4 linked regions of the Struthio camelus genome follow. The protein of the gene in region 1 purifies or fractionates together with the protein of each later gene. This does not show direct contact. Links are inferred from orthologs where the notes say so. Each region holds a gene or a part of one and is shown in the gene's direction. Other genes may lie near its edges. The genes, in order: PPP1R7, SH2D4A, PPP1CC and UBXN2A.

What was found.
Region 2: the proteins of PPP1R7 (region 1) and SH2D4A purify together in Homo sapiens (affinity purification with mass spectrometry; 3 studies listed by BioGRID and IntAct, counting the BioPlex papers as one, with this or other methods). This does not show direct contact. The link is inferred for Struthio camelus from reciprocal best matches to the Homo sapiens genes PPP1R7 and SH2D4A.
Region 3: the proteins of PPP1R7 (region 1) and PPP1CC purify together in Homo sapiens (affinity purification with mass spectrometry; 8 studies listed by BioGRID and IntAct, counting the BioPlex papers as one, with this or other methods). This does not show direct contact. The link is inferred for Struthio camelus from reciprocal best matches to the Homo sapiens genes PPP1R7 and PPP1CC.
Region 4: the proteins of PPP1R7 (region 1) and UBXN2A purify together in Homo sapiens (affinity purification with mass spectrometry; 3 studies listed by BioGRID and IntAct, counting the BioPlex papers as one, with this or other methods). This does not show direct contact. The link is inferred for Struthio camelus from reciprocal best matches to the Homo sapiens genes PPP1R7 and UBXN2A.

What each region holds. Positions count from the first base shown.
Region 1 is NC_090950.1:3,846,206-3,853,129, reverse strand, and holds the start of PPP1R7 (protein phosphatase 1 regulatory subunit 7), read left to right. Parts: upstream 1-3,904; 5' UTR 3,905-3,968; coding exon 3,969-4,011; intron 4,012-4,737; exon of another isoform or gene 4,738-4,815; intron 4,816-4,977; coding exon 4,978-5,100; intron 5,101-6,924. Other genes in the region: PASK (PAS domain-containing serine/threonine-protein kinase), read right to left, coding at 1-134, 1,148-1,383, 2,486-2,701, 2,876-2,960. UniProt on the Homo sapiens protein: Regulatory subunit of protein phosphatase 1.
Region 2 is NC_090945.1:5,625,317-5,632,663, reverse strand, and holds the start of SH2D4A (SH2 domain-containing protein 4A), read left to right. Parts: upstream 1-4,328; 5' UTR 4,329-4,745; coding exon 4,746-4,920; intron 4,921-5,839; coding exon 5,840-5,999; intron 6,000-6,644; coding exon 6,645-6,804; intron 6,805-7,347. UniProt on the Homo sapiens protein: Inhibits estrogen-induced cell proliferation by competing with PLCG for binding to ESR1, blocking the effect of estrogen on PLCG and repressing estrogen-induced proliferation. May play a role in T-cell development and function.
Region 3 is NC_090958.1:18,080,750-18,088,626, reverse strand, and holds the start of PPP1CC (serine/threonine-protein phosphatase PP1-gamma catalytic subunit), read left to right. Parts: upstream 1-4,869; 5' UTR 4,870-5,156; coding exon 5,157-5,211; intron 5,212-7,877. UniProt on the Homo sapiens protein: Protein phosphatase that associates with over 200 regulatory proteins to form highly specific holoenzymes which dephosphorylate hundreds of biological targets.
Region 4 is NC_090944.1:15,830,720-15,837,885, reverse strand, and holds the start of UBXN2A (UBX domain-containing protein 2A), read left to right. Parts: upstream 1-4,147; 5' UTR 4,148-4,288; intron 4,289-4,323; exon of another isoform or gene 4,324-5,793; intron 5,794-7,166. Other genes in the region: ATAD2B (ATPase family AAA domain-containing protein 2B), read right to left, coding at 3,257-3,412. UniProt on the Homo sapiens protein: Acts to repress the ubiquitination and subsequent endoplasmic reticulum-associated degradation of CHRNA3 by the STUB1-VCP-UBXN2A complex in cortical neurons.

The sequences.
Region 1 (6,924 bases):
TCTATGTACTCCTCACCTACAGCTTCCACAACATCTTGACTGGATTTTGATATCAAGTGGGACAGCTTTTGACCAATGAGTTCCTGACTACTGCATCCAAGCAGCTTGCAGGCTTTGTCATTGGCCACTAGAATCTACAAAAGCAGAAAGGAAAAAGAAAAAAAAAGGAAAAAAAAAACACAGAAGAGCTGTAAGTTTCTTTAAAGCAACAGCATGATGATCTGTTAATGTCTTATAATATCACTTCCTCTCTCAGTGGAAACGGAGAAGCCCTTTTTAATTCTGAAATCTTACTACTCAACTCACTAAAACTTCTTGTTCTAGGACAACCCTCACCCAAGCCTCTTCTTTGTTAAGAAGGTGTGAGACATGGCTTTCCTTTTAAGCTTCTGGCTTTATAACTGCCTATCCCCTCCAGCCTCTTGTGCTGTTTAAATAATTATATCCACAGAGGCAAAACCACAGAGCTGCACTTTCAAGGAAAATCTGGGCTGGCCACAGAATATTATCGAGCCCTGAAGATGTGCAAAAACCACAGCAATTGACAGCCTTAAGCCTATTTACAGACCAAGTCACAATTAAGTGTCTAGCCCCTCTCTCTTTATGATGGGGAGGTCTGAACTGTTAGTTCAAGCTAAAAAGGAAACAATGCTTTACAGTTTTCAGTACTCAGTTTCATACTAACGTTTACTCTCAGGACAAAAACAGAGAAATTCTCTCTCCCAGTGCAAAAGGCATATGTACTGGGGCAGACAGAGACCTCATGTCACCATGAGCCCATCCCAGTGAAGGTTCTTCCTTGTCATAAGGCTCGAAACATTTTCTGCTTTTCTGTTCTTCCCTCATGCCACATCACAACTGCTTTCTTCTTTATTCTCTTTTTCTGTTTGAAAAAAGACTCAAGACATCAGTGCTTCTGATATTGTCCTGTATACTTTACCGACTACAACCTACAATGGAAATACATGCATTGTCCGTCTTTGTAGAATCACTGAGCTTGAGCAGACTATCAAAAAGCTTCATAATTTGGACACTGCCTACAAACACAGGAATAACAAGCTTTTGAGCCTACATGATGTCACACAACCTATACTAGGTACGCATTGCTTTGTTTAGCGGTTCGTACTGCAACAGATACGGCAAGTACCTCTGTTGTGTTGACATCCACCGTGAAGACGGCTTTGTTCGGATTGCGTGCAGTAGTTACAAGGTGTTGGCTGGATTCCTCCACAGTAAGGGCATGCAAAAAGGAACAAGAAGCAGGACTACCAATGGAACTGGAGAGAGAGGCAGAATCCCACCGAGCCCAAGAGTTACCAATTTTGCTGGAACAAATGTTATGAGCCGCCAGCGAAGACAAACAATAAGAGCTCCATTTCTCTCCTGTGAGAAGATAAAGATCGGCTATGTAGCTCTAGCAGTCTACTACAGGAGTAGTTACAGGAATAAATAAAAAAACTGTTTGTCAGCTGAAATAGCTGTCAAGTAATTTCAACTCAAAACATACGCTTCCTAGAAATTACAAAATACCAAAATCAATTAAACTAAAGATAACAGAAACAATTCTAATAAACATGTCTTTGTAAGTCACAGGAACAATTAAACTCAGTTCACGGGCTAGAAAACATTGCCAACATGCATAAAATTCAACCAGACTAGTCAACTTTCCTTTCGCTTAAGATAACAGAGTTAAAGGATAGGTTTTGAATTCTCTCAAGTTAAAATTAAAACTGTTATTAAATATAATTACTGTAAGCGTTCAAGCCCTCTTTAAATACTGAGTTAGTCAGAAGCCAGTAAATTAACTACTCACAAGAGCTGACACTGAAATACCTATGCCCACACCAATGTTTTATGTTATGCAGTGCCAAGAGATTGTACTAAAATTTTCAGAAGTTCTGCCTGTAGAAAGCGTTTCTTCAGGTAGTGGCATCGGCAACAAACTCTGCGCCCAAAGGGGCAAATAGCTTTCAAAGGCAAGCTGTGCTGGAGGACGCGGTATGAACAAGTCGTTACAAGGACACCTCTGCATTTATGCACTGCATGCAGCATGGATATGCTGACCATGATAAAACAGAGACATCCATATCTGGACAGGCTTGAAACTGAAAAGTTCTCCTCCTCCTCAACAGGTTCTACTGTAATATCGTCTTCCTCCCTATTTGGCAATTTTTTCATTTTTTAGAACATAATATTTAGAACACCAAGTATCTTGCAAGCCCAGGACAGCCTGGTCCAGTGGCAGCCAATAAAGGTTGCCCAGGCAGGAGTACCAATACAAAGCAAGCATACTACGACACGTCCTCCCAGAACTCTCCCAGCCTGAATAAGAGCTTTTTAATAGCTGCTTATTGCTATCATCTCTAGCTTTTTTTTTTTTTTTTTGGGGGGGGAGGGAGAAAGAAGAGCTGAAAACATCTGAAAGAATAATCATCGTCTTCATTGACAACACGCAAACTCATTCACATGCGTTTCATGTGCTCACCGGAGAGAGAGGCTCTGCGCCGGCAGAGTTCAGAAAGCTGACTTCTCCTGCTCTTGCTGGCCCAGGGGTAGGATCTACTTAGCTTATCAGAATCGCTCAAGTGATGAAGGGCTAAGCCTGCTGACGAAGGCAAAAAGCCCTCTTCAGCGGAGCTATCTGCCTCGGCTGCCATAGTCAAAGCCTGGTTGCCATATCGCGCGCCTAGAAAACCTCCACCTGTAACAGAAGCGTAACAAATTCAGTCAGGCCCGCGGTCAGGCAATAGCGCTCACAGCATTGGCAGAACAGGCCTTCTAGTCCAAAGCACAGCCCTGCAAGCTGTGGCAAGACTGCCGCTAACTAGCTTTTGCCCGGCCAGGTGGGACTTGTGGTCTGTGCTGCCAGCATCACCTATGGCACAACAGGACTTCGCCAGCGCGCTTCCAGAAGAGCGACCGAAGCCCCCGGCCACCACTCGCTCCCCGTTTCTGCTCATTTTCAGAGCAGAAGCAGGTTATTCGTGCAGTAACTCTCGACGTTGATTCAGCCACCGCCGCACGGCCTCCCTCCCGCCCAGGGCGGGCGGTCCCCGCACCGGCCACCCTCCCCAGCCCGCCCGCGGCGGGCAGCCCGGGCCAGCCCAGCCCCCCGCAGTCCTCCCTCGGCCCCTGCACGGGGCAGCCCCGGCCCGGCCGAACCGGCCCGGCCCGGACGCGCCGCCCCTCAGAGAGTTACCACAGAGCCGCGGGCGCGAGCAAACAAGGGGCGGGACTCTCCGGCCGCGCTGCCCAATAAGCAAAGGCGGTGGGCGAGCGGCACGCGGGGTAACCAATCAGGCGCCGAGGCGCGGGGCGGCGGGCCGCTCGAACGGGCAAAGCCGTCCCCGGCGGCCGCGCGCTGCCGTTGCCAAGGAGGCCCCGGCCGGGCCGGGGCGGCAGCGGCGGGAGGCGCGTTGACAGAGCGCTGCGGAATGGGCAGCGCCCTCCGGACTCTCTGTCCCTCGCCGCAGCCCTCTTCGCGCCCCTGCGATGCCTGGATGCCTGCCCGCGGGCAGCCCCGAGCCGGGCCGCGCCGGGCTGCCCGCTCTCGCGGCCTGGGAGGAGGTGTGTGGGGGAGCCGAGGACGACCAGCCCTCTGCAAGGGCCAGGGTTCCCTAGCGGCACGAAAAAGCCGGAAACAGCTCGTAACGCCCGAGGGGCTGCTGGTGGGCTGGGAACCGCCCCCCGCCCCCGCAGTAATGCCAGGCGGCTTCCTCCTTTTCCTCACAGGGTACTACAACTCCCAGGAGGCAGCGGGGCTCGGGCTCGCACGCATGCGCGGGAGCTGACAGGCGGCCCGGGCCCCGCCCCTCCCCTTACGGCGCACCACCTGCAGTGGTGATTGGCTGTGGCCCTTCGCCGGCGGCGGGCTCTGATTGGCGGCGGCGGCCGTTGCGACGGTTTCCGGAAGGGGGCGGGGGCGGGGGCGGGGGCGGGGGCGGGGGAGGGGGGGGAGGAGAAGCAACATGGCGGCGGAGAGCGGAGAGGGACCGCAGGAGATGATGGAGGGTGAGAGCCCGCCGGGGGCCGGCACGGCCGCGGCCGCTGCGGGGCCGGGGCGGGCCGCGACTCAGCCGTTGCCGCTCGGCGGGGCGGCTGCCGGGCGCGGGCGGAGCGGCTGCCGGGTCCTCCGAGGTGTGGGAGACTCCGATGTTTGTCCCCCCGGGGGCGGCTGCCGGCCGGGGCCGGGGCGTCGGGGGCCTCTGGGCCGTGCTGCGCCGCCCAGGGTGGGGCTGCTATTTGGGGCACAGCGTGATGCCCCCCCCCCCCGCCCCGGGGGGCTGCAGGCGCGGGAGGTGGCAGAAGTGGGTGTGTGGAGGTGAGCGTGACCTAAAAAAAGAAAACCCGACGATAATACCAAGCGGCGCCCTGGCATGGCGTTGCTTCCCCTCGGCCACCCCGTGAGGGGAGTGTACGTGTTGAGGGGTGCCTGTGCGCTGCCCAGGACGAAGGACCTCGGCTCCCCGGGGCCAGGGCGGCCGCCGGAGTTGCGGCTGGGGAAACGATGGAGCGATCACGCTGGGGAGATGGTTACTTTATCTGCTGGGATTGGCTTTTTCTTTTTTTTTTTTTTTTTTTTGTGAAGCTTTTACTACTTCACGTCTTTGTTACTGTTTTACAAGATACTGATTTTTTTTTTTCCTAAAAGCTTTTACAATGTAATAATTATAATTCCATCTCCGTAATCTTTGGATCTGCACTCCTTTGATCTAAGAAATCTCCTTTTTCCTCCAGTCTTCTTCCCAGATTGTTGGTTTTAGGAAGATCTGAAGGGAGGAAAAAGTGCATCCAAAATCAAACTAGAAACAAGGGGTAAGAGGCCTTTTATTTAAGACTAAACCTTTAATTTAGTTAACTTAGGATTTCTACTAACTGCATAGTGGTGTATGTGAGTCCTGGTTATTATATTTGTTTGCTACTTCTCTGCCCCGCTCACGAAAGTAGCCTAAATCTGCTGTTATGTATTTTGTGCAGTTGATAAGCGGATTGAATCGGAGGAGTCGGGAGATGAAGAAGGGAAGAAGCAAGCAGCTTGCTTAGTAACAGACCTCAGTCAGCAGAGCCTGAAAGAGGAGCAGAATGGTGAGAACTGCACAGGTACCCAGCCAATCTAATTGATCACCCTAGGAGGGATCTTCTTACTTACAGCAGTATCTGTGCATCGATCCTTTCTCTTTTCCATGGCTATATGTGGTAATGTTATTAACCTCATGATTTTTTCTTAGAGCTCTTTTGAGAAAATTAGTGGTAAGGTAGTCATTGGTAGAACAGAGCTGCCTCTTTTTTATGGAACCATTGGCATTAGATTTTGGGGATTTTTTTTTTCCTATTATTATTTTTTATTTACCCGTGTGTGAAACCACGCTTCTCTTTGAAATCTTTAAGATCGAAGTATGAAACATCTTTACTAATACCTATCTTGTGGTAAAGTAGTAGCAACTTCCTATAGAAAGATGCTGCAAGTGTTCATTAGAAATGAATAGAAACAGCTCTTTATATCTCTGCTTTAGTGTTATGTAGTTTTTTTACTTTTAAATTGCTGGATTTGTTTGGAAGGCAAAGGAGACTATTTCTAGATAGATCGAAGGAAGCTTTCAATTCTTTTGTTTAGTTTTTTTAGACATTTACAAATTATAAGATGTATCAAAATACTTGTATCTGAATGTTTGAATCCTCTTGATTTGGAACTCCTGCTACTGTTTTTACTGTTTACACTAGTATAGCGCGGTAGAAATTCTGACAGGCTTTTTTTAAGCTTGTGTGTGTTTGATAGAAAGACTTATTTTTCAGTAACTTGCTTAAACTCTATCAGAGCAAATCCATCTCTGAAGACCCCAGCTGGCAACATTATGTGAACTTCTGGTGCTGGTTGGTGGGTGTTGGAGTAAAAAGAGTTAAATCTCTAATAGATCTAGAGCTAGAACGCCCTGATAATTTGAGATGTAATAGCGTCCTTCTGATGGACGCGTTCGAGTAACTATTGGCCTGGAAATAAAAGTGAAACAATATAGCAATTTTTTCCGCTGTGTTTTGATCCTTTTTGGCTGTTGCTCTTTTACAAATCCCTCTTAACCTTGTCCCTTAGAGTTTGCAAAAATAGTTTCTAAAGTAGTAAATTACTGTGAGAATTTGAACTCTCATTTCCTAATTAAATGATCTCTATTTCTAGGTATAATTCACTGTTAACATATAGTTTTCTGTGATTAATTGCGAAATGGTGTGATGTTGTCTATGAAAGTGAAGGAGCACATCTTGGGAATTGTAGAGCGCAAGCACTGTACGGCCAGCAAAACAAGCAGATCAGTCGTTCATTGTTTTCCTTTGCACGCATGTAGCATAATGAGCGTTCATTCAGCTAACGTAATTTAGCTGCATGTTCAAAGTTATATTTTGTATGTTGTTTCCTCTGGGAATTATAATATGAAAATATGCCATTTGAAGTCTTTCCTTTAATTACAGTTTAAAGCAGGAAGGTAATTCAGATTTGGTGGATGGATTATATTGGGACTATTTTATTTAATGACTGTATTGTCATTTCTTCTTCTTCTGAGCTGGTAGGATTCAGCAAACTTCAACTAGAACAGAGACCAAGCAGAGGAAATAACTTTGGAACGTTTGAGTTAGTTTCGGTAGGCAGCTGTTGAGTTGCCCAGGTGAAGGACAACGAACAGTTTTCCATGCTTTCCACAGAAGAACATAAATAGAGAGAACTCAAGCAGCTGAAACTTCACATTTTTCATTCAGCTAATTTTTCTGAAGAATAGCAGCTCTGTTTAGGAAGCTTATAGCTTAGATATTTATAACATTTTTCATGCATTTGCAGTTAAAAAGTGCAGTTAGACTCTTAATTAATACTTGTGGTACTGTGGAATTACGTAACTCTGTAACTACTGTTCTGTATTGCGGAATTTGGGTTTCCCA
Region 2 (7,347 bases), on another chromosome or scaffold:
GGCCTGCACTTCCAGTCCGCTGCAGCCAATCCCACCAGCCAGAGCTGCACAGAACCTCTGCTCAGTCACAGCAAGGACATCCTCTCGGGCCCATTTTGGGCCATCCTCTTTCCAAGCCCCCTTCTGGCCAGGGAGCTGGGACCATCCTGAATCAAAGGTCACTAGAGCTTCTGGAGAACAGCAGTTCTGCTGCTCCCAAGCCAGACAGAACACAGAGCTCCTGAGAGGCCTGCCCAGCTGCCTGGCTTTTCTCCCTGGCAAACATAGTCAACACCCTCTGCTTAACAAACCACTCAGCATTTGGCCCACACTCACCACAAATTATACCTTCACAACTGAAGGGAATAACAGGGTTTCACCTCCCTGCTGGCAACAAGTCTCTTCTGTTAGAAACCCCTTCAGTTTTACACATCACAACTATTCATTTCTGTTGACCCAGGCAAGGCATCTCTGCCAGACCACCACATTTGTCCATGTGCAGAGCTACCAGCCTCTTTAGTTACTGTTTTTGAGCCACTGAAGACCCAGCCCTACTTGTTTCTCCAAACAGAAGACACCTCAGGCTCTTAACTGAAGACCTCTGCACACAGACCAGCAACTCAGAGTAGAAGCACAGCATTTCATCCATACGGCATGGTGAAACAGGCATCGCCGATACCCAGAACCCTGGGTATTCTGAATGCGCACTATGCCTCAAAGACGCGGCGAGCTCTTTTCAAATCTTTCTTTTTAGAAATCAAACAACTTTTCTTTCTGCTAGGATGTTTTTCAGACAAGCATCTCCAAACTTGTTTCCATAACATCCTCCTCTTAAAAAGAAACTGCAGGTCTCTCCACTTAGCAAAGTAGCTGCAGGTTTTGTCAGAAGGGCACACGGATTGTACCACTAGAACGTAGATCTGACTACTTCTCCCAAGGTTTCAATATTTTGAACCTTTCTGTACTTTGCACCTTACAGCAATTCAGCCTAGGCATCTTTAGAAAACTGCAGGCAAAAACCGTGTTCCCCCAAACGCACATCAAGCCCTTGCAGACAAACAGGCAGGGGAGTGCCAAGCCCATGCTGCACCTATTCAGTCACCCACTGGGTACCAACTCTTCACACACAGAAGTACACCCTCACACACAAACATTTGCGAGGGACAGTCTATCCCAATGGAAACACCTGCTGCTACTACCAACTCCATGCTTCTTTCCCACCTTGCAGCTTAGTTACAAATAGCTGTTCATTTCCTTTCTTCTTCTAATACCATGCTTTGATACTGTTTACGTGTATGATTTATACTGTTTATACTGCTTCTGCGTTGTTTATACTCTGCTTTATACTGGCTGCAAAAGAGCTCTTAGTCTGTGTGCGCTGCCTCACAGCTCAAGGCACTTTTGGGTTACAGAAATAAAAACACCACACAAGCTTTTCAGATTCATATTACTGTTCAAAAGGCCAATGCCTGCACTAGCTGTGTTGGGCTAAACACAAAGAGATTGTCACATCCCCTAAAACCAGAGCAACCCTCCCAAGAGCTATTCTGTTTGGAGGACAGGAATTGATCTGAAATAGCCACCACACCTTGTGTCCTCCAGACTGAACTGACTTCAGCTGATCCTAAGAAAAAACTCCAAAGCCTAAGGGACCCAGGCCTGACTGAAGGGTGCTTTTGTGATACCCTCATCTCTTTGCCAACAACAGCTTCTTTTCCAGGCAGCGCCTAAGAACAGAAGGCAGTGAAGGTTAAACAGCAAACTCCCAGCAAGCTCCCAATTTTGCAGTTTCACACAGCTCAGATGCCCCTAGGAAGAGGGGACTGCGCCCCAGCTCCCCCCCACAGCAAAAAGCTGCTCCTTCTCCACAGCCTGCCATCCCCCCCCCCCCCCCCCCCCCCCCCCCCCCCCCCCCCCGCTCAAGGACAGCCTGAGCCCTTTTCTTTGGCTGCTGAGCTGGGGCAATTCTCTTATCAGAGGATCACTCAAGAGCCTTGCCCAGCCACAACTACCTCCCACAAGGAGCTCCCCAAAGAGCCTTTTTTCAACCAATCAAGCCATTTTGTTTAAACAGCAACACGACTTTGGAACAACAGCTCCCTGTTTCTGAAATTAAATTAACCTTTCAAAGAGGGAAAATGTAAAGCAACTGGTCAGACACACAAAACAGAGACAAAAAGGCTCTTACCCTACCCTGCCTGGTTCAGGGCACCTCCCCAGGGAGTCCTACTTCTGGCTTTGTCTGAAAGTGGCTGTGCTCACACTCGGGACCCCTCTGTCCTCTCAGGCCCTGAGCAGCCCCTTGTCTCACCTCTACAGCTCCCCCAGCTGCTCCCAGCTCATTTCAGGCCCTCCCTGCCAAATCTGCGTCAGGACTCCAGCCTGCCATGCCCTGGGCGCTCCTCAACTCCTCTGTCTCCGGCATGCTTTGGCGGTGCCCCAGGAAGGCCTGAGTGCTCTACCTCTCGCAGCTTTAGGGCACGCTGCCTTCAGGCATGCCTGGTCTGGTGTGGGGGTGAAATGGGGAAGGCAGGCGGGGTGAGACAGCGTGAGAATAAGCCCAGGAGATGTTATCTTGCCTGGCTGACTGAGGAAGCTTTGCTGTCACACTGCCTCATTTTCCCTAATTAAATGGGCTGCATGCATGTGCTCCTTGGAAAGCTTCATTATTGCCCTCCTTGGCTGCTCTGCCCTACCCTTCTCTAGCCTGCTCTTCTACCTCTTTCCCAGACGAGGACTCCAGGCAAAAATCAGAGCAATCATGCGCTGAGGCTGAAGGTGCTCCCAACATTTTTTCCTGTCTTGACCTGCCATGGGGATCCCCAGGAGCCATTTCCTTTACAGTAACAAAGGGAACTCATTTGACTCCAGTAGTGAATGCATACTGCCACTTCTCCCTGGCATGGGCCAGTCCATCTTCTCCATGTACTTTATACTTCCACATTAATGTGCTGCTGACCACCTTCCTCCCATCTAGTGGGCTATGCCTCGAAGCTTCTTAAGCCTTTTATGCTTCTTGTTTCCCCAACTCCCAGGATTTGTGTAGAAGTACAGGAGTAATCCCGCTAGCCTTCATTTTCCATGCAACCTGCTAAACCTCTGCTCCCACTTATCGTTTCCTATTTTACCATCATCAAATTCTGCCCTCCCTGTTCGAGGGGTCACTGACCTCTACAGCTTCGGGCGAGTGTGGACAAACTGCTTGCCCCGCCATGTGCCTGCCCCTCTGGTGTAACAGTCTCCTCCCAGGGCCCTTGTGATGGCAGGAGGCTGCAATCTGCTTCCCTTTCGGGGCCAACCACACTGACCCTTCCTGCACCCACTCTCTCCACCGCAGGTTCCCACGATTTCTGACAATTGTAAACTCCTCTTCCTCAGGCACTGAGACTCAGCCTTTCTGCCCGCTGCTGCCAGTGGCAGCAGTAGCATTTCGGAGAGGGCGCCTAGCCTGCAGCTGCCCAACACCTCTTCCATAGACCATGGGTATCAGTGAACCTGCATTTCCTAAGAGCTTGTTCAGAAAGCGCCTGCAACCTCTCGCCTTCACTCTGGCTAGCAAGCCACCCTTGCAGCTCTTTCTGCAGCTGTACTTTACAACATAGCTGTCGTCACCTCCCCCCCAACCCCGCATTCTCCTCCCTCAGTAGCGCCAGGGTCGGACAACAGTGTCACTGAACGCGCTGCTGAACAACCTCCTTGTTTCCATGAGTTTATCCAGAGGAGATATGCAAAAGAGTTGGTTTCAAGGTCTTTAGTCCATTCCCCCCATCCCCCCAGCACTACCTATTTGGCAGCTCCTCTAGTTACAGGAGTGCTCCTAATTTTCCAGAGAAACCCCTGTTGCACAGGTCAATCTACTGGCACAAAGCACATCTGCTTGGGTGCCGGGTGCCCTACCTGTATGCACTAGCTGTGACCTGGCATCCTGGGCAGGAACAGGAGTGCTCCTTCTCCCCTGCCTCTTTGGCTTGTCACGTGTGGATGGCGCATGCCAGGTTTGCCATGTGGGGAAGGCACATCAGCAAGAAATGTCAGACCTGGAGCTGCCTCATTTCATCAGCTGCTGACAATCTTAATTATCTGGCTTTGAGCAATCCACCTTCCCTGGGCTTGCTGGGACACTACATTTGATGGACAGGAGTACCCCAAAATTCCCACCAGGCAACTCCTGACTCCCACCTCAAGAGCAGAGCCAAAAGCCCTCCCAATCTTTCCTTGGTTAAAGAGAGCGGCTGAACTTCTTAACATCATGCCGCCCTGTTTCACAGCGTTTCCTCTTCCGAAGAAGGAGGAGCCCTCTAGTCCTGAGTCCATTGATCCCCTGCCCAGCAGGAATGTTTGCTTGGGCACGGACAAGCCACACCTCTGATGACTGTAGCACGCAGCCCTCTTCCCTGTTTTGATACGGTATCAGCTCAGTTTATCAGGGCATAAATACAACCTGCCCACCGACTCCAGAACTCTTCCCTTCTGGCCAGCTGTCCCTGCAGAGCAGGCGGAGGCTGTGTCTGTCACCTGTTATTTCAAGGAATCTTAATAGCAGGTTTTAAGCTCGTATTTACTTTTTCAGTCTGTGCAGGAAGTCTGAGCTAAAAAAAAAAAAGTTACCCAGATAGAAGTATAATTACCCTGGCACACCTGCATTCCTGCTCCAGGCTCAGGCAGGGACGGACTCTTTCTTGTCAGTGCAGCCATACTGCAGCCAGGAAGAGGAGCTGATCCCTGGAGCTCATCGCCACAAACGTGTGCAACTGAAACCTCCAGCCATGCTGAAACAGATATTATCAGACATGTACATTGATCCTGAGCTGCTGGCAGAACTCAGTGAGGAGCAGAAGCAGATCCTCTTCTTCAAGATGAGGCAAGAGCAGATCAGACGGTGGAAGGAAAGAGAAGCTGCCGCAGACAAGGCTCCAGCCAAGAAACCACCATTGAGAAAAGGTAAGTTTTTGCCTGCCAGCTGCTTCCTCCTTGGACACAGATCTGACCAAGATCCCGAGATAGAGGAGGCAATGTGTCCCCAGAGTAATTTCTTCTCCCAGGACACATTACTCATATTCCCAAATTAGAACTAAAACCATCTCCTATGGGGGTTCTTCTGGCCTGGCATCCAGCTTGTTTCACTCCCTGGCCCAGGCCCAGACACACCGTCCTTCACCGAACCACTAAACTCCCCTTCCCAGGAAGACATGGCTTATTTGTCCCCTGGGTCACGAGATGCATCTCATCAGTGTCCCACTGAGCGGAGCCTCTGAATCTGTGTATAAAATAACCACGGACATGAATGCCTGTCCTGGAGTGCCAGCAACAAGCCTGCGTCATACGGGAGCTTGGCGAGTGCCACTGCCTGGGCTGAGGCACCAATCTGCTGGGGGTTGCCTGTTAGGCTTTTAGACCCGAAATCCCCTTGCCAGGATTACGCAGCATGCTGGCTCGCAGAGCCGAGGAGTCCTCTTCCCCCAGCCGTCTCCTACCTGCTCTGTTTGCCGGTTGTCCAGCCTCACACAGTCCCTGGACAAGGCATTTGAAGAGGGCAGTGGCAAGGAAGTAGAGGAAGAAAGGAAATGGCGGTATCTCCTCTCTTCCTTTGGGGCTCAGAAACATCTCCTTTATTGACAGAGAACGACTCTAGCTCCGGCACTGTGAAATGAAACGGGGGGGAGGGTCCATGCTGTGTCCCAAAGGAGCTTCTAACAGGGATGGACCCTGTCCACAGATACCTCCCTGCTTTTTCCCACAGAAGGCTGTTTTTGGGAAAGGCTCTGCCAGTGGCAGCAGCCAGGGCACAGCATGTAGGATACAGACCCTGCATGGGGCTGCTAAGCAAACAGCATTAGTGAAAAGGCTCCTTCTCTTCCAGCCAGCGCGAAGTCGGTGAAATGGAAGCTCGGTGCTGACAATGATGTCTGGGTCTGGGTGATGGGTGAGCATCCATCAGATAAGTCGTATGCTGCCATCTGTGAAGAGATCCAGGCACAAAGGGCAAAACGCTTAGCGAGCGAGCAAGGCAAGGAGGCCAGGTAAGTATCCCTCACCCAGAGGACACACAGAGGAAGAGACTTCTCTAGAGACCCAGGCCAGAGTCTCTGCCGTGGAGGCTCTCCTCTCTGCTCTGGGAATTTTCCTCCTCAGGCTGAAGCAGGTGGACAAGTCTAACACGCACATTGCGAGCAAGCCTGAGCCCTTTATAAAATCATGTTTTGCTTTCCTTTGATTTCTGCCTTGGGGCCAGGCAGCGCGTGGTTATCTCTGTCCCACTCTGCTTGCAGAGCGAAGGCACAGGGAAATGTCAGCTTTCTATGAGTATGGGCAATCCTGGCAGAGACTCAACCTCCAACCTAAGGGCCTGCCCTAGCTGTTCAAGTCTCCCATCATATCGCTGCTGTGCGGCAGCCTCTGAAGATCATAGGAGATGATATGCGTGTTACTGCAGTGGGTGATGTGTTTGGATTGCACTGATTCATCGACAGGTGTCTGTGAACAGCCGGACGACAGTTACTCACAATGAGTAACAACTTTTAACTATTCCCTCCCTGTGACCTGGAGATATGATAACTGTATGCCTGCACGGCAGCGCTCTGATCACATGTGATTTCCTCTCAGATGCTTAGGCAGCACAAAGTTACTCCCCTGGATTCCTAAGTCCTGTCTCTCTTGCATTTCAGAGAGACTGACTCTTCTGTAACATGCTCTCTGCATCCACAACCGGGAGTCCTGGGTGGGATGGATGTTCGCAGGAACAATAAAAGCAGTGTGGAAGAGCAGAAGGAAGATGGGAGAAAAACAACTGCCACTAGAACAGAGAAAAGCTGGGAGCTCAGAGAGGTACTTTTCCTCCTTCTCTCCTTCCTACTCAGAAGTCTTTGCTTTGAGAGGTAGCGAGTGCAGCAAACTGATTGCTAGTAAAGGAAAATCCAAAAAAAACCTAGCCACCTGACCGTTAAGGCTTCTTTCTTCTGCAGTCATTGAAGAAGTTGTGCTGTTACATCCTTCCTTAGGACTGGGGAGGTCTGTGGGTTATTCCCAGCTGGGTTTCTTTGCTTCCGTTCTCCATGGGTAAAATGGAGATTACAGTACTTTCTCTCCTGTTCTCTGGCTGGTTTGGGCTGCTTTTCAGGCAAGACCAGGGAGGCTCTCCTACCAGGATCAGCACATGCAAGGCCACAGCCCTCAGACAGATCATCTTCCCCTATAAAAGATCAGGAGAGGGCAATACTACCAACATCCTTTGAAATGCGTATTTCACGTTCTTTTTCTCTTCTAAAGAATTAGAAGATAGTTTATGACCTTGACAGGACAGGACAGCTCCAAATGCAGCTGACTAGGGTGCTTGCTTTGATGTTTCATTACAGAAAGGTTTTTCTCCAG
Region 3 (7,877 bases), on another chromosome or scaffold:
ACTGATCTTCATCTTATTTCTGCTTCCATGCTCACCTGACAGCCCTCCTGGTCCTCCACTCTCATTGGTTTTAATTAGAGAAAGAGTTCATCCATGTCATGAGCATGTTATGTCGGGGTAAAATCAGTGTAAGCGAAGAAGCCAGCTGTGTCCCAGCCCAGCCACTTGCCAGTCCCGGGCTGCTAACACGCTTTTCTGGCCAATGCAATGAAGAACATCCCTGAAGTGCTTTCTTCAAGCCACGTGAAGTCAAAGCTGCCCAGAATGTCCCCTTAACCTTTCCAAGGTGCGGTGGCCTCTCCCCCTCTTGCAGTGTCCACTCCACATGGTGGGAAAATTGAAACCCTCTGTAACGATGTCTGAGCAAGCAGACCGAGAGGAGAGACGCTCAGCGAACCCCTTCGCTCCCGGCTGCCTCTCTCCTCCGCAGCAAAGACAAAAAGGAGATTATGTTCGCCCTGCCATGGACCAGCTAAAGGAGGACTGAAAAGCCCTTCGCTGGACGCGTAGCGCTGGCTGCTGCGCACGTTGTTTTCGTTCCCCGTCCTTGAATGGCTCCGTGGCAATCAGCTGAGCCCCACGGAAACCCGCAAAAGCTTTCTAGCTAGTTATGAAACTCGGCCTTTGGCAGAGCACAGAGATTCCCGGCCCAAGAGGGGAAGACAGGGGCTCCGGTCCTTGCCAAAATAGCGTCAACTGATCCATTACGGCTGTTCACCGCTTAAAGCAGGACAAAGTCTTCTTTAGCCCCGTTTCCCCTCTCAGTCTTAGCGATGGACCGGCCCTCCGCCACGCTCGAGCAGGGATGCGCAGCTGCGGCATGACGCGCCAATCTGCTCTTCTCCAAACAGGTCTTGTGCCTGGTCTAGCCTCAAAAGCCAGATCCCTAGAACACACTCCTTGAGAGGCTGGAACGTGCTGGGTTTTTAATCCAAATAGCTATAGCAGGAAAATCCTACTGTGGTCACAGCTGTATCAGAAAAAAAGTGACTTAGGACATTTTTATATGAGAAGGGTTTTACTGGTAGTATTTTTGCCAGTGTGAACTTTCCAAGACTTACCAGCAGAACATTTTCCCATCCAAAAATACCTTTCATGAGAAAGCCTTGAAGTACATCAACTTTGACAAAAAAAAGGTAGGAGGGGAGGAACTGCAAATAACATTTCTACCATGTCTCAAGATTTTTCGAACAGAATCTTTTAACATGTTTTATCGAAAATGTGATTCTAACAAACTTGAGATAGGCTTGTCATTGTTGTTGGCAGTTTCCTTTGCTGGGAGATTTCAGAGGGAAACCAACTGCTGAGACTGTGAAATTTTCGGCTCCGTGGAAAATTCAAGGCCTGGCTTTTGGGGGAGGAGGGGTGGAGGGGAATACGGGCGCTATGCGATGGCAAACGGCTGCGCAGGCAAAGGCTGGGCGCTTTCCCCCAGAGCAGAGAGCGGACTTCTCCCACAGCCTCAGGGTCAAGGTGTTGCACAGGGAAAACAAGGCTTCCTAATTTTCTCATGCGTGGGCTGACGACTTCAGAAAAGCAAAAGTTTGGTAAGCAGGGAGAAGGGAGCGCGGGAGGCGCTCTGCCGTTGGCGTCCGGCCTCTGCACTGGGTACAAATCCCCCGTGAGCCCCAGGGCGAAGGCAGCGGCTCCGGAGCAGCGGAAAGCCTTGCTCTCTCGTTCGGGTCCCTCGCAAAGGACCTGCGCGCCCGCCTGCAGCTCGCACGTCTTGTTGCTCAAGGCAGATCAATGCACTGTATGTTTTGTAAATAAAACAGGACACTAAGAAAATACCTGATTCTGCGTCACCGACTCCTTTCCAAGCAGAACACAGACCCCTACATCTCCAAAGCAGCCTCATGGCACTGCCCAGCTGCTCTTCGTTTGCCTGAAAAATTGCCACCGTCTGCCCCCAGACTCTGGCAACATCCAAAATTTTGGGGTCAGTGAAATACTTTAGGCATCAGGAATAAGAGGCATCCATAAAAAGTTTATCTTGATCATAACAGCAGGCTATCTGGATGCAAACAGTACGAGCTATGAAAACATTTAAATCATATCTGAATATCTAGTCAGGAGAAACAACATTTGCCCCACATTTTTTATTCTTCCAGTGTTTGAACAGCCCTTGTAGATCTTTGTTTAAAATGTACACAAACACATTGAATTTCACGGACTTAGCAAATATGTAATCTAAAGCAAGGGGAAGCGTGGGTGACTCGCATTTCTTAGGATCCACCTACATACTGGAACAAAAAAAAAGGAGCGTTTCATGATTATCTATACATGTGTATATATATATATATATATATATAAGTATATAAAGATATTTATACATCCTATCCCCCAACAGCCCAGAATACGAGCAACCCTACAATAAGCAAAGTAGTATATGCATGACATGAGGAGGACAAATCAGGAGGGAAAGATATTTTATCCTGAGGCTTCCAAGGAATGTTACTCAAGCAGTGATTTATTTGTGGAATTTCAGGAGGGGAGGGAGGACGAGACACAAAGGTCTCACAGCTGCAAGCAAGATAAATCGTACATCATCGTGTATTTAGCAAACTATAATGCAAACTGTAGACAAATACAAGGAAGGGGGAAATATATGAACTCTAAGTTGAGAATTATCAAACGCTTCAAGTCTGCATGCAGCGTTTAAGGGCAAAGGGATATCCCTCATTGTTCCCCCTCTAGAAATAAATCATTGTTCTGAGCAACACTGGAGGAAAAAAATAGTTTCAGGATATTTAACACCTTGGCTGTGTCCCTTTTTTAATCAAGAGAAGCTGTTGTGGGGTGAGGCTTGTTATTTTCAGCAGAGAAAAATTAGCTTATTAAAAAATAACATTGTGGTGGCTTTTTAATAACTGTGGCTCGCATGGAGTTTACTGCTGTTAAGTAAGCGTTCTCATTTTTTGTGTTGATATAGCAAAAATGTAAATGCAAAAGACCTTGTGCAAAAATACAGTTTCCCCTCCGAACAGGAGACCAAGCGTTCCCAGCTGCTGCCGAGACCCAGGAGCAGAGCTGCAGCAAAGCAGGCCGGTTATCAAGGTGATATTGGGGTCTGAATATATTTCCCTCGCTCTGTCACTTCTCTCACTTCCCCTTTGCTATGCCTCTTCTAACGCAAATTGATGGTGCTCTGAACCTTGCCTGATTTGGTTCATCAAGTGAGATATAGTCTCCTCTGAAGGGCCTGATCCTTCCTTCCAGGAGTGTGATGTTCCCGATAAATTTCCATGCGCAGAGGATTAAATCTCCTGGGTCACATGCTGGAAGGTGCTGAGCTCCCCCCCCCAATTTCCCCGAGCATTAACAGGAGTGAAAGGGACTCAGCGTGCCGCAGAAGGTGCTCAGATCCGTGCAGGACTGGTCCTAGGGGAGGGCGTCAGGGGAGAGGGAGTAACAGCTGAAGGATGAGATAAGATGAAGACATTTCCAGCAAAGAAAACAAGGACAGGAAGGTTTCTCTGGAAACGCAGCACCAATTTCCCTCTTTGAACAATTCAGTTAAGTCCAAAGGAGTTTGCTAGAGAAAAACCTGCCCCACAGAATTAGCCGGGATTTGAAAGGAAAGCCTTTGGTGCGAAAGAGCCAGGGAGGGGAGGCTGCCCCTGGGAAGGCGCAGCCCAGGAATAGATGTAAATCTGCAAATGCTGTCACGTTGAAGTAAACCTGGAGTAACGCTATTGTCTGCAGCGGGGTTGCTTTGGGCTTACACCAGTGTGACCGAGATTAGCGTACGGGCTCGGGCGCGCTCATTACGATAAAGCGCTCGCTCGGGGAACTCGAATGTCGAAGCCGCGTTTGGCAACGGCCAGGCGCCCGCGTCGCAGACCGCCTGGCTCTGCGCCCTCTCCTTTCCTCCCTCACGCTGCCTCCAAGGTGTGCTGAGGCTGCAAGTCCTTTGCTTTATCACCCTCCCGAACCTGAACTCTGCTCTGGCCCCACCACGGTAATAAACTGTTATATGAGTATTATGTAACTGTCAGCATGAGGAATCTGGCATGCATAGCATGAGCAACGCACACGGGGAGGAGGAAAGTGGTTGACACAGCCATCCCTGCAAATTAAAGTAGGAGTAAATAAAGCAATTAAACAATATTCAATCAGAGATGCAGACTGAACGCTAGCAAAGGCCTGCACAGCCCCATCTCCCTTGCAAACGCGATCCAATTTACGAGCAGAACCTCGCTTAATTGCTCGCGGCCAAGCCTTTGCCATGCACGAATAAAATAATAATGGAAATGTGAAATAAAACAGCAAGGCGCTCTGGAAAAAAAAAAAAAACGCTCATTTCCCCGGCCGGCCCCCTAAGGATTTCAAAGCGCTGCACAGCGGTACTTAAAAGCAGTCGCCCGGGGAGAGCCGCACGCACCACGTTACTCGGAGGCCTAAGGGCGCGCGCCCGCCGCAGAGCCCCTCGCACGAGCGCCCAGAGCCGCTGCGGCGAGGCAGCTTGGCGTGACCGCGCGCCGGCCGGGCCTCGGCGCCCCGCTGCCGCGTTTCGGCGAGGGAAAACACCCGCGCTCGGTGTTATTTCGCCCCGTTTTGCGGGCCGGGCAGGTGAGGCCGAGGGGCCCGGCCTGCGCCTCGCCTCACGGGGGGCAGCTGGCCGCGGCGGGCCTCGGCCGTGGGGCAGGGCCGAAGGGAAAAACCCCTCGTGGGAGCCGCATCAACGGCTCCCTGCCAAGGGCCTAGCGCCCGCCAGGCGCAGCCCGGCCGCGGCGCCGCACACGCGAGGCCGCACACGCGCGGCGCCCGCTCGCGCCGGACTATTTCGCCTCTTCGCGGCGGCGGAAGGATCCCGCGCGTGCAGCACGCCGTGACGCGCCGCCCCGCCCTCCTCCGCGTGCTTCCCGCGCTGCCTATAAAGGGTTTCCGGTGAGCCGCGTCGCGCCTGTAGTATCCGTGCGCCGGCCGCGCTCGCTGAGGGGAAGGCGGCCATTTTGTTCAGTGCTGGGTCTCTGCTGAGAGCGGCGGCCGAGGGGGGGCGGGGGGGGGACGGAGCGAGAGAGGGAAGAAGGAGCGCGGGGAGGAGAAAAGGAAGGGAAAAGACGAGAGAGACCGAGGAGAGAAGTCAGGCCGGCCAAGCAGCGAGCGGAGGGAGGGGAGCCGCGGGGAGGGGTCCGCCCGGCCGCTGAGAGGCGATGGCGGATATAGACAAGCTGAACATCGACAGCATCATCCAACGGCTGCTGGAGGGTGAGGGTCCGGGCGCGGGGGGAGCCCGGGGAGGGGGCGGAGGCCGAGCCGGTGCCCCCGAGCCCACCGCCGGCTCCGCCGCGGGGCTGCCCCGGCCCCTGAGCGCCCGCTGGGGCCGGGGCACCAAAATGGAGGGGCGCCGAGGCGCTTTGTCTTGCCGGGGCTCGGCGCCGCCGCCGGCCCGGGCGCCCCTGCCCTCCGGCCCCAACTTCTCCCCTAGCCCTCATGTTTCCCGAGCCGTCCCTGCCCTCCCATCCCCTGGGTCCTCCCGGTGCAGGGCTGAGACCCGCCGGCTGGCCCCCTCCTCCAGCCCTGCAGCTCTACGGAGATGCTTAGCTGAGTAAGGTTTTCGTAGGGGAGTGTTTAAAAACCTGAATGCTTAAGCTTGCCTTCGCTACACGCGCACGGGGTCTGGGCTTCGCTAGGTAGTCGTGGGGCTCTGGAAATTAAGCCTTCCCATGTTTAAAGAGTCTGTCGAGGCAGCTTTTCAGAAAGTCGACAGGGGACTTACCTGGGTTCAGGGTATCATATTTTTAGCGCTGATTAACTGCTTGCATTAGTACTACCATTAGACTTTAGGTCTTAACGCGTAACATATGGTGGCTTTTAAAACGCGAATTACAGGTTGGCCTTTGCTCTGTTTTAGACGATATTTGGAAGGGCTTATTGTCCTGTATCGCTAGTGCTTTGGGTTGAAAAGAGTTGAATGGAGTTCAACATCTAAGGAAAATCTAGATGTTGCAGGAGGTGTCAGCAGCGTCTTCCCTTTGGTTGTAAGGGTCAGGATCAGGTTAGAATTGTCAGCTAATCTTTCCTAGGGCAAAAGGTTGAGAAGCAGCCGATGACAAATTTTCTTCCTAGCACCAAGAAAGATTATAATTATTTAGAGAAGGAAGCTAGACTGATCCAGCCTCATTTTAAGTGTGTCAGAGCAGGCATCTCATCTGGATTTTTGCTTGAAGAGCTTGGTCAGGCATTTAACTTTTTTGTTTGGCACAAAGTCATCCAAGATTTTGCTGAGACAAATAGTGAAGAAATGCCTTTGAGCGCTCTCCCAATTTTTTTCTTGTAAAATTTCACTAAATGTCATGACCCGAATAATAATAGGCAAGGCAAAGGGGCAATAGTGCTTCTATAAAATTGGTTGGGATTACAAATCCAGCGGGTGTATTTTGGGATTGTTCAGCTAGAATGAAGAAAAGTAAATAGTGTTTTTTCTCTGATCTGTTTTAGGTTTTGCTTGTTGCCAGTTTAAACTCTCCTGATTTAAGTTGTTTGGAGGCTTCTGTCTGTAATTTAAACCAGTGTTTTCCTGATGCTCTAATACACTTTGTAGGTATCAGGTCCTGTGTGTTACATGCTTGGTGACATATTAATAGATGCTTAATTTTATTGCAGATAGTATAATTTTTATTTGATTTGCTGTAATGCAACTCATGCAGTTTTCTCAAAGTGCAAGTTACTAATATCAAAGACTTGAAATAAGCCTAAAAAAGGTCTGAATAATTTGAATTATTTCCCTTGTTCTGGATTTCAACAAGTAATAAGATGTATTATATCAATATGTTAAATTCTTACCTGGCTTGTATAAGTATTGTACATTGAGAGATGAGAGCTTATAAATGAGGTTTCAGAAGCTTCACTGACAAGATCTTTGAGATGACTGTGTAACAAAAGATATTATTACCTAGGGTTGCGTCAGCTGTCAGAACTGAAATAATTTTTTTACTTTGACATTTTAGTTAGAATTTCTGATTTCTTGGGGCAACAAATGTCTTTTGGTATTTAAAACAATTATGAATGTTAATAACCCATGGCATATTTACACCTATATATTTGTCTTGTTTATTGCTTATTGAAAATATATTATATAAGGTATAATACAGCTTTCTTAGAGCAATGGTTGACCTTTGTGACAATTTCTTTTTTTTCCAGAGAGGGCAAAATGATAATGCGTTTGGGCTAGTGCTGCATTCTTGATAGACTGCTAAATTGTGTGAATTACTGTGCAAACGCCATTCTCTCTGTAGTTGTTTGAAATTTTCTTGACTCATCTGTTTCCTGAGGTTATTAAGATACAGCTAGGTAGATGACAAGATTGATCTAAAGGGCAGCTCTGCGTGGTATCAAAAAAACCAAAAATCTAAAGGGTGTGTGTAAGAGAATTTTTAATCCTTTTTAGATTTGGACTGAGCATGAGAAATTTAAGACATTTGTATGTAGTGTAGTGTTCTTTTTCAATATAGTTCTTTTTCAGTGCAGTTTTAGTAGAATTGCATCATGTTCAGTTATATAAAGTTTGGTATGTCTGTACCCAGGATTCTGCTCCCTTTTCGGGCTGGATTCTGCACTGATTAAAATGATAGCCAACCACATACTCACTACAAAAACTCTTTTAATAACTAGCTGACTCGCAAATTGAATTGCCCAAATCCTTGTTCAAGGTTTAATTTTTAAATCAATTTGATATTTTACCAGTTATACCTATCTTTAAACTGTATGCTTATGTATTTTTATAACAGTTATTTCAGGTGATTTTGCTTAAAAAAAAGTAAAGATATGAATATGTAATGTGGCAGTAATCCCTTCTTCCTTTTTAAAGGTAATAAAATCAATGTTATGGAGATACTTTATGAAATATTTCAAATCGGTAAGAAAATAGTGGA
Region 4 (7,166 bases), on another chromosome or scaffold:
ACCTGAAGATCAGAAACTTAGGGTTTTAAATTCTTTTATCCTGTGCTTGGAAGTGGAGGGATTCAAGCCTATCCTTGTAAATGTGTGCAAAGAAACAAGAAGTATCAGGAAAAGCCAAGGGAGGAGGGGAAAAGTGAAATGGAAATGGATAAAAAAAGAGATGGAAGGCAGCTTCTAACCCTTCATCTGTACTATCTGGCCCAATCAACATTGCACAGGATGCCATTAGATTACTAACTCAGTGTTAGTTGCTAATAAGGAACAAACAGATGATCTTTTAAAATACATTCTGAAAGGTAATAACAAGCACTGCCACTAACAAGCATTTCTCTGTAGGGCCAAGTCAGAACCCCCGTGGAAGAAAATTAAGTCATGCAGTGCAAATAAAAAGCATAAAGCGTCTGCCAGATCTCCAAACTCTCGCAGACCGTTAACCAGATAAGCGGCTGGTAGTAAGGCTGGTGCTCTGCCATTACAACTGGCAGATTTTAAAAGGACACCCTGTTCTATTCAACTTTGAAAAATACATACAACTACATGAGAACACTCCCGATACACCTTCTACACAAACACAAGTTAAGTATCCGCCTCCTGACGGGTCACTTCCAAAAGCAAAGGTTTTGTCTTCTCACTGCTATACTTATTCACCTCTAATCACCGAAATCCTTCTTTGGCACTACTTCCTGGAGATTCAGGAGCTCAAAAAGACACTACATCACCCTGCTGTCCCATACCTCCAAACAACTTACAAATTCTTACCACCTGAAGGACAAAAACAGTCATCCAAAGATAACTTTAAAATATGGTGGGAAATACATATTACAATATATACTCAAAAGAAACAAGAACGAAAAAAAAAAAGAAAAGAAAAACCTCTCTGAGAACTCCTATTCATCTTTGGCAATTACGTCTAAAAAAATTAGAAAACAAACAAACAAAAAAAATACCTGCCTGAAACACAAGTGATGTGTAGTGAAACAAGTCCATTCCATCATGCCAAAATACACACTTGTCTTTAGAAAAAAAAACGCTTTTGGAGAATTATGCTTGGATATATTTATAGATTTTAGGATAGTATTTTTCACAATCTCCTTTCCTTACACCATGACAATACCATAACCTCTACGATAACTTTGTAATACAAAAATATTATTTAGAGATGAAAAATATTTGGAAAGAACTCCAACTTATTATCTTTTAGCAGCAGTAAACTCCCCACGCAGTAAGCCAGTAAGGGTTATGCCAAACTTTGCCTCACAAACCACAACAAGACCCATGGTATGAAAAAATAGAAACTGCACAATGGAATAAGGAGGACAGCTTTTTACAGCTATGGTGCGGCATCCCCATGAGTCTAGTAAAATCAAGCAAGGCAAGAATAAGGGATGCTGAGGTAAGATGGTATGGAAAAAAAGGAGAAACTGTGGTGCATTAGAGAACTGAAAGAGGAGCACAGAAAGTACAGAACAAGTATCTAGTCAGTAATTTTTTTTAGTATTTGAAAACAAAAAGGACAGGGCAAAAGGTTTTCTGACAATTCCAGCCGTCTTTCTTCTGGCTGCTATTGCTGTTTTTCTGCTTGCCTGGTTAACTTCCTCCTTAGTAGGGGACAAGACTCGGTCACCTGGTGCATGACTGTCAACCAGTCTGACCCTCAGTTTTCACTTCCATAGCTCCTAAGTCTTTCCTAGTACTCTGCTTTTAAAATATGTATTCAGACCAGAAAACTATAACTGCTAGTTTAAGTCTTCGAATCAATACATGCAGTTCTAGCAAGAAAAACAGCCCTCTGTATAAATAAAACGTCCACTGAGAAAGACATAGCTGTCAGTAAACCTACTTAGAGACTCCAAGGAGGGAAAAGAGGCTCCTGAATTCTCTCTTCCAGTTACCATTTACCAGACACCAGCTTTCCAAATTAGGCTGCGGAATTCATTTGCCATTAGACCACACAATCAAAGCTATTATAATAAGTTATGTCGGGAAAACATTCAATTAAGCATATCCAGCGAGGGCAAAACAACATCCTCCCCGCTCTTTGAGGGAGGTGAATCACAGACGGGGGGGGGGGGGGGGGGGGGGGAACTTGCTCAACCGGCAGCTTTTTGTCGCCGAAGCTGCTGCGAACAGTCCCTTCAGAGGAATCGAGGTCATTTAGGGAAGGAAGGTGCGGGGGGGGGAGAAGAGGGAAGAAACAGAGGAGGGGAAGAGGATTGCGAAGTTGCTGCAGGCGCAGCTCCCAACTTTTGTCTCGCAGCGGGGGCAGTGCCGGGCGCGGCCGCAGGGGGAGCTCCGCTCAGCTCCGCGCCGCCGCCGGCTCCCCCGGCTCCGCCGCCCGGGCTCCGGCCCCAACTTCGTCCCGCGTCTCCCCGGCGGCCGCCGCCGCCGCCGCCCGCTCCCCACGGGCCCGCGCGCGGCCGCCCCCAGCCCCTGTCACCGGCCGGCGCCTCTCGCCGCCCCGGCGCGCAGCGGCCTCTCCCGCCGAGCGCCGCACCGAGTTGGGACGCGGCGACCCGCCACAGCCTCGCCCTCTGCCCCCGCTCCCGGGGGGAGAGGCTCCCTGCCGGCTCCGGGCTCCCCCCTCGCCCGGGGCTCCCTGCCGGCTCCGGGCTCCCCCCTCGCCTCCCCCGACCTCGGGCTCCCTACGGCCTTTACAACGTCTTCACCTCCGGCTCCGCGGCTCTCTTCACCCCCTCTCACCCCGGGCTCCCCGCCGGCTCCGCGGCCCTCCTCAACCTCCCCAAACCGGGCTCCCCACCGGCTTTACAGCCCCTCTTCACCCCCTCTCACCCCGGGGCTCCCCGCCGGCTCCGCGGCCCCCTTCACCTCCTCTGACCCCGGCCTCCCCGCCGGCTCCGCGGCCCTCCTCAACCTCCCCAAACCCGGCTCCCCGCCGGCTCCACAGCCCCTCTTCACCTCCTCTGACCCCGGGGCTCCCCGCCGGCTCCGCCGTCCTCCCGTCACCCCCCCCCGCCCCGGGGCTCCCCGCCGGCTCCGCCGTCCTCCCGTCACCCCCCCCCCCCCGCCCCGGGGCTCCCCGCCGGCTCCGCCGTCCTCCCGTCACCCCCCCCCCCCCGCCCCGGGGCTCCCCGCCGGCTCCGCCGTCCCTCCTCTTCCCCCTCCCTCCCGCAGCCCGACAGCCGTCTCGGCACCCCCCCCGGCTCCTATATCCGCCCCCCCTCCCCGGCAGCAGTGGCGCTGTCCCCAGCGACTCCCCGACCAAGGCCCTCGCCGCCGCCCCCCCCCCGGCCCTTACCCGCGCTGCCGCCGCCTCTTCCAGCCCGGCCGCATCTGCCTTGGTGCCCCTTTTGGAAGAGCGGGTGCGGGACGAGATGAAATGGCTGCCGGCTCCGGCCGCAGCGGCCGCCGCTTTGCCCAGGGGGCGCAAGGAGCTCTTCCTGGTGTTCACCATGGCCCCGGGAGGGGGGACACCGGGGGGGGGGGCGCCGCCGCCGCTGCCGCCGCCGGCGCGGAGGGAGGAGGGAGGGCGGGCAGGCGGGGGCTCGGGTGGGGAGGGGACGGGGAGGGAGAGGGGGAAGGGGGAGGGGGAGGAAGGCGCAAAGCTCCTTGCGGGGAAGCCGCTCCGCCGGGCAGAGCCGCAGACAGAGCCGCGCGGGCTCCTCCTGCCGCCGCTGCCGCCTCCTCGGCTCGGTCACACTCTAACTGGCCGCCATTACTGTCCCTTCTCCCTTTCTCTGCCCGGTGCGCGGCGAGGCCGCCCGCTGCCGCCGGGGGGCGCTGCGGCGCCGCCGCCGCCGCGCGCAGGCCTTGGCGGCCCCCGCTGCGGACGCTCTAGCAAGGCGCCGGCGCGCTCTATGGGCCTGGCGCGCGCCGGGGTGGGGGAGGCGGCGGCGGCGGCCGGCTGCAGGCGGCCGCGTCCCCTGGGAGCGGAGCCGAGCGGGGACGGCCGGGGCGACCGGCTCTGTTCAGCCCGCCGTCCCCACGGGAGAGGGAGCGGGGGGCGCCTTGCCTGCCGCCCTTCCCGGCCAGGGGGACGGCAGCTGCCGGCTGCAGGGCGGGGAGGCCGCTGTCCTAGGGGAGGGGGGGAGGGGCGCAGTCCTGTCAGGCTGAGGGAAGCGCGCACCGCCCGCGCCGCGGCGACGCGGCTGAGGAGCGAGGCCCGGGGCGCAGCGGGGCCCGCGACGTGACTCGCCCACGGCCTGTCAGGCCCTGAGGCCCTGGGCAGGCCGGCCTGGGTGCTGCGGGGGCCGCCCGCCGGGGCTGAGGAGCCGCCGCGCCTCGGCGTTGCCGCTCGGGGCGCGAAGCCGGAGGATTACTGTCCGCTTAGGTGAGAGGGAGGGACAGGGAGGAAGCGGCTGGCTCAAGGTCAGGGAGGAGGGCTGAGAGGTGGCACTACCTACTGCCCAAACCTACCGCCGGGCCCTGGGGCACACGAGCTTGCCGGCCCCTCTCACCCAGGAAGGGTCTTTAAAGTCAGTGACGTGACACCTTATGCAGATAAATACACCCCAAGCGTAGGATTTCCACCATCTTTTGTGAAAAACTGTTTCACAGACTGGTGAGTTTCTTTCTTCAAGAAACTTCCTGATAGCCAGACTATCAGAAATGTTGCTGTGCTTTGCCTGCTGTACAAGTCGCAGATAACACCCTCTATCTTTTGCCCAGTAGCCTTAGCTTGCATTTGATGTTTATCGCTCAGTACTCAGCTTATTTTCCTCTTATTTGTCTCCTTCCTTTATTTAATAATCTCATTTTAGGGAGAAGAAAAACAGTACCTATTACAGAGCACTGGATGCTTAAGAGATTTTCAGATTATTTATAAACAATAAGGCAATCTATTTTCACTGATGTGCATTGGGAGCAGTGAGAATCACTTCTCTCTCACCACAACTTGATGCCTTTCATTAAACTTACAGCTATTACAGTATACGTAAGCCCCCAAACCCAAAGCTTCGTAAAAGGAACGTAGCTTAGTAATACGAATATAGAGGTCTGAGCAACAAAGCCTCCACCTTTAATTCTATTTTTCACACTTCCTTGCCATTGCTAGGCAAGTTATTTCAGTGTTTTGTGTTTCTCTAACAAAAAGGAATAGGATAATAAAATTAGTGATCACAAGGCTCAAGCTCTTAGGCTCAAACAGTTTATCAAAGTGTTTTTATTCTTTAAAGATAGCACTTGAAAGAACAATGCTAAAGAACAATAAATGGAAAAACTGTTCTTCTGCTTTTCCTGCATACTTCCACATCTTCCTTTTCGAGAATAAAGTCTGGAAAAGTACGATATATAAAATATGCAACTATGCCATTAGGATATTTAATAAGAAAATGGCCTATTCAGATTTCCAAGCAAATATTTTCTTACTGTGTACAGAGATAAACTTTCATTTTTATGAGATAGTCCAAAATACATTGTGTTTTGGGCATGGAAAGTAGGATCTTTTTCTCATTTCACATTCTTTATTCAGGGCTGTTAATTCGCATTAGCAACATTGCTTCATATCCTGTTTAAGAATCTACAGGGTCTTTCAAAAGTCTTAGTTGTTCTGCTCAGTGAGATTAGTTTTGTTATGTTTTGTATCCTTTATTTATTCATTTATTTGTTTATGCTTAATGGTTATGAAAGGGTGCCACCATTTCACAGACTTGTAGCTAAAGGAACAGTTTCGTTAAAAACCTACAGTTTTTGAAAATGATAGTTGGAAACCGCTTTCCTTTTGTCCTTGAAGAACTGGAATAGGAGACTGTAGGAGGCTGTCCCTTACCAAGTACATTGAGGGAAATGAACCTGGAGAGAAGTTTGCTGAGAATCACAAGCATGATGACAGATAAGGTACTTTTTAAATTCTGTCCTGTAACACTGATAAGCAATGTAATTCAGATACTGAGTCCAAATTCTGTTCGTGTGAAAACAAAAAATAATAAATTGATCTTCAGGCTTTTTGCCTGCATCACAAAAATCTTACCCCATTTTGGAAAAGCAGCAGATCAATCTGTGGCCCCAAAAAGGGCCCGGATTGCAGTTATATTGAATATCATAACTCAGGACTGTAATGCATTGGCAGGACTGTTTGGGGAAGCTTGCATAACATCTGTTTGCAACATGCCTGATTCAAACCAGCACTCCCCCTTTCATGAACACTGATGACTTTTTATAAGTAAAGTAAACTTCATCGTTATGCAAGCAAATGGATTTTCTTGGGTGCCTATCCACATCTGCCTGAAGCAACAGGAAACCCACAACTTAAAAGCTATTTATTTTATATTTACTAAATATTTTGACAATACTTGTGTCCTTTTTATAATGTTCTGATCTCATTCCTGTGAACCCTACTCAAGTGAGTATTCCTTACGATGCCAGAGGGACTACTCTTGTAGCGGGATTACTGTAGTTAAAAATCCCTGCTCACTGCTTTGAGTATTTTTAATGCTTTATTCCCATTATGTTAGCATAGAGGGAAACGTGTAAAGACATGCTTCATTTTGGATGTTTACTCCCTTGATTGTTTTTGGCAGATGGTTTTATTTTCAGGTTTTGTAGTTGTCTTGTTATTCTTACAAGGCACAGCTAGTTATTTTGACTGGAATAGCTTTCCACTTTATAGTCTATGTAAGCTCCATCATCGTTTTTAGTACTGACAATGGAAATGAATAAATTGTAAATAACAAGGTTTGTTAGTTTTGTTTGGGTTTTTTTTTCTTTGAAATAAAAAGGACATGTTAACATAGGATTAATATTTTATATCACACATACTGAGAGATTTACATGTGGTTTAAGAATAAAAGACGAAGTACCGTAGAAATAGATTTAGAGTAATTTCCCTAATCCAAGAATTAACTTGTTGCCATTTTTTATATCTGTGGCTTGTTTCAAGTGTCATAAAGAAAGAGAACAGAATTAACAACCCGTTTTGACCCTCTTCAGCAATCCATACGCAGCCTTGTGGAAAAAGAAAAACTAAAAGAACTCCTGAGCAGAGAAAGACAAGGCAATAGAGAAAGGAAAGGGCAAATGATTGGAGCCACACGCCACTAAATATTACATACAAATTTTGTAGGGCTCATTTCCAGTAAGATTCAATTTGAAGATCTATAGTTTGGTCTTACGGACATATGTCTAAATGCTTCTGAAAATAAATGCCATTGGGAAGGACTAAGTTTCAAAGGAAGTCAATTTATAACAAATGCTGGAGCTTACCTTTAAAA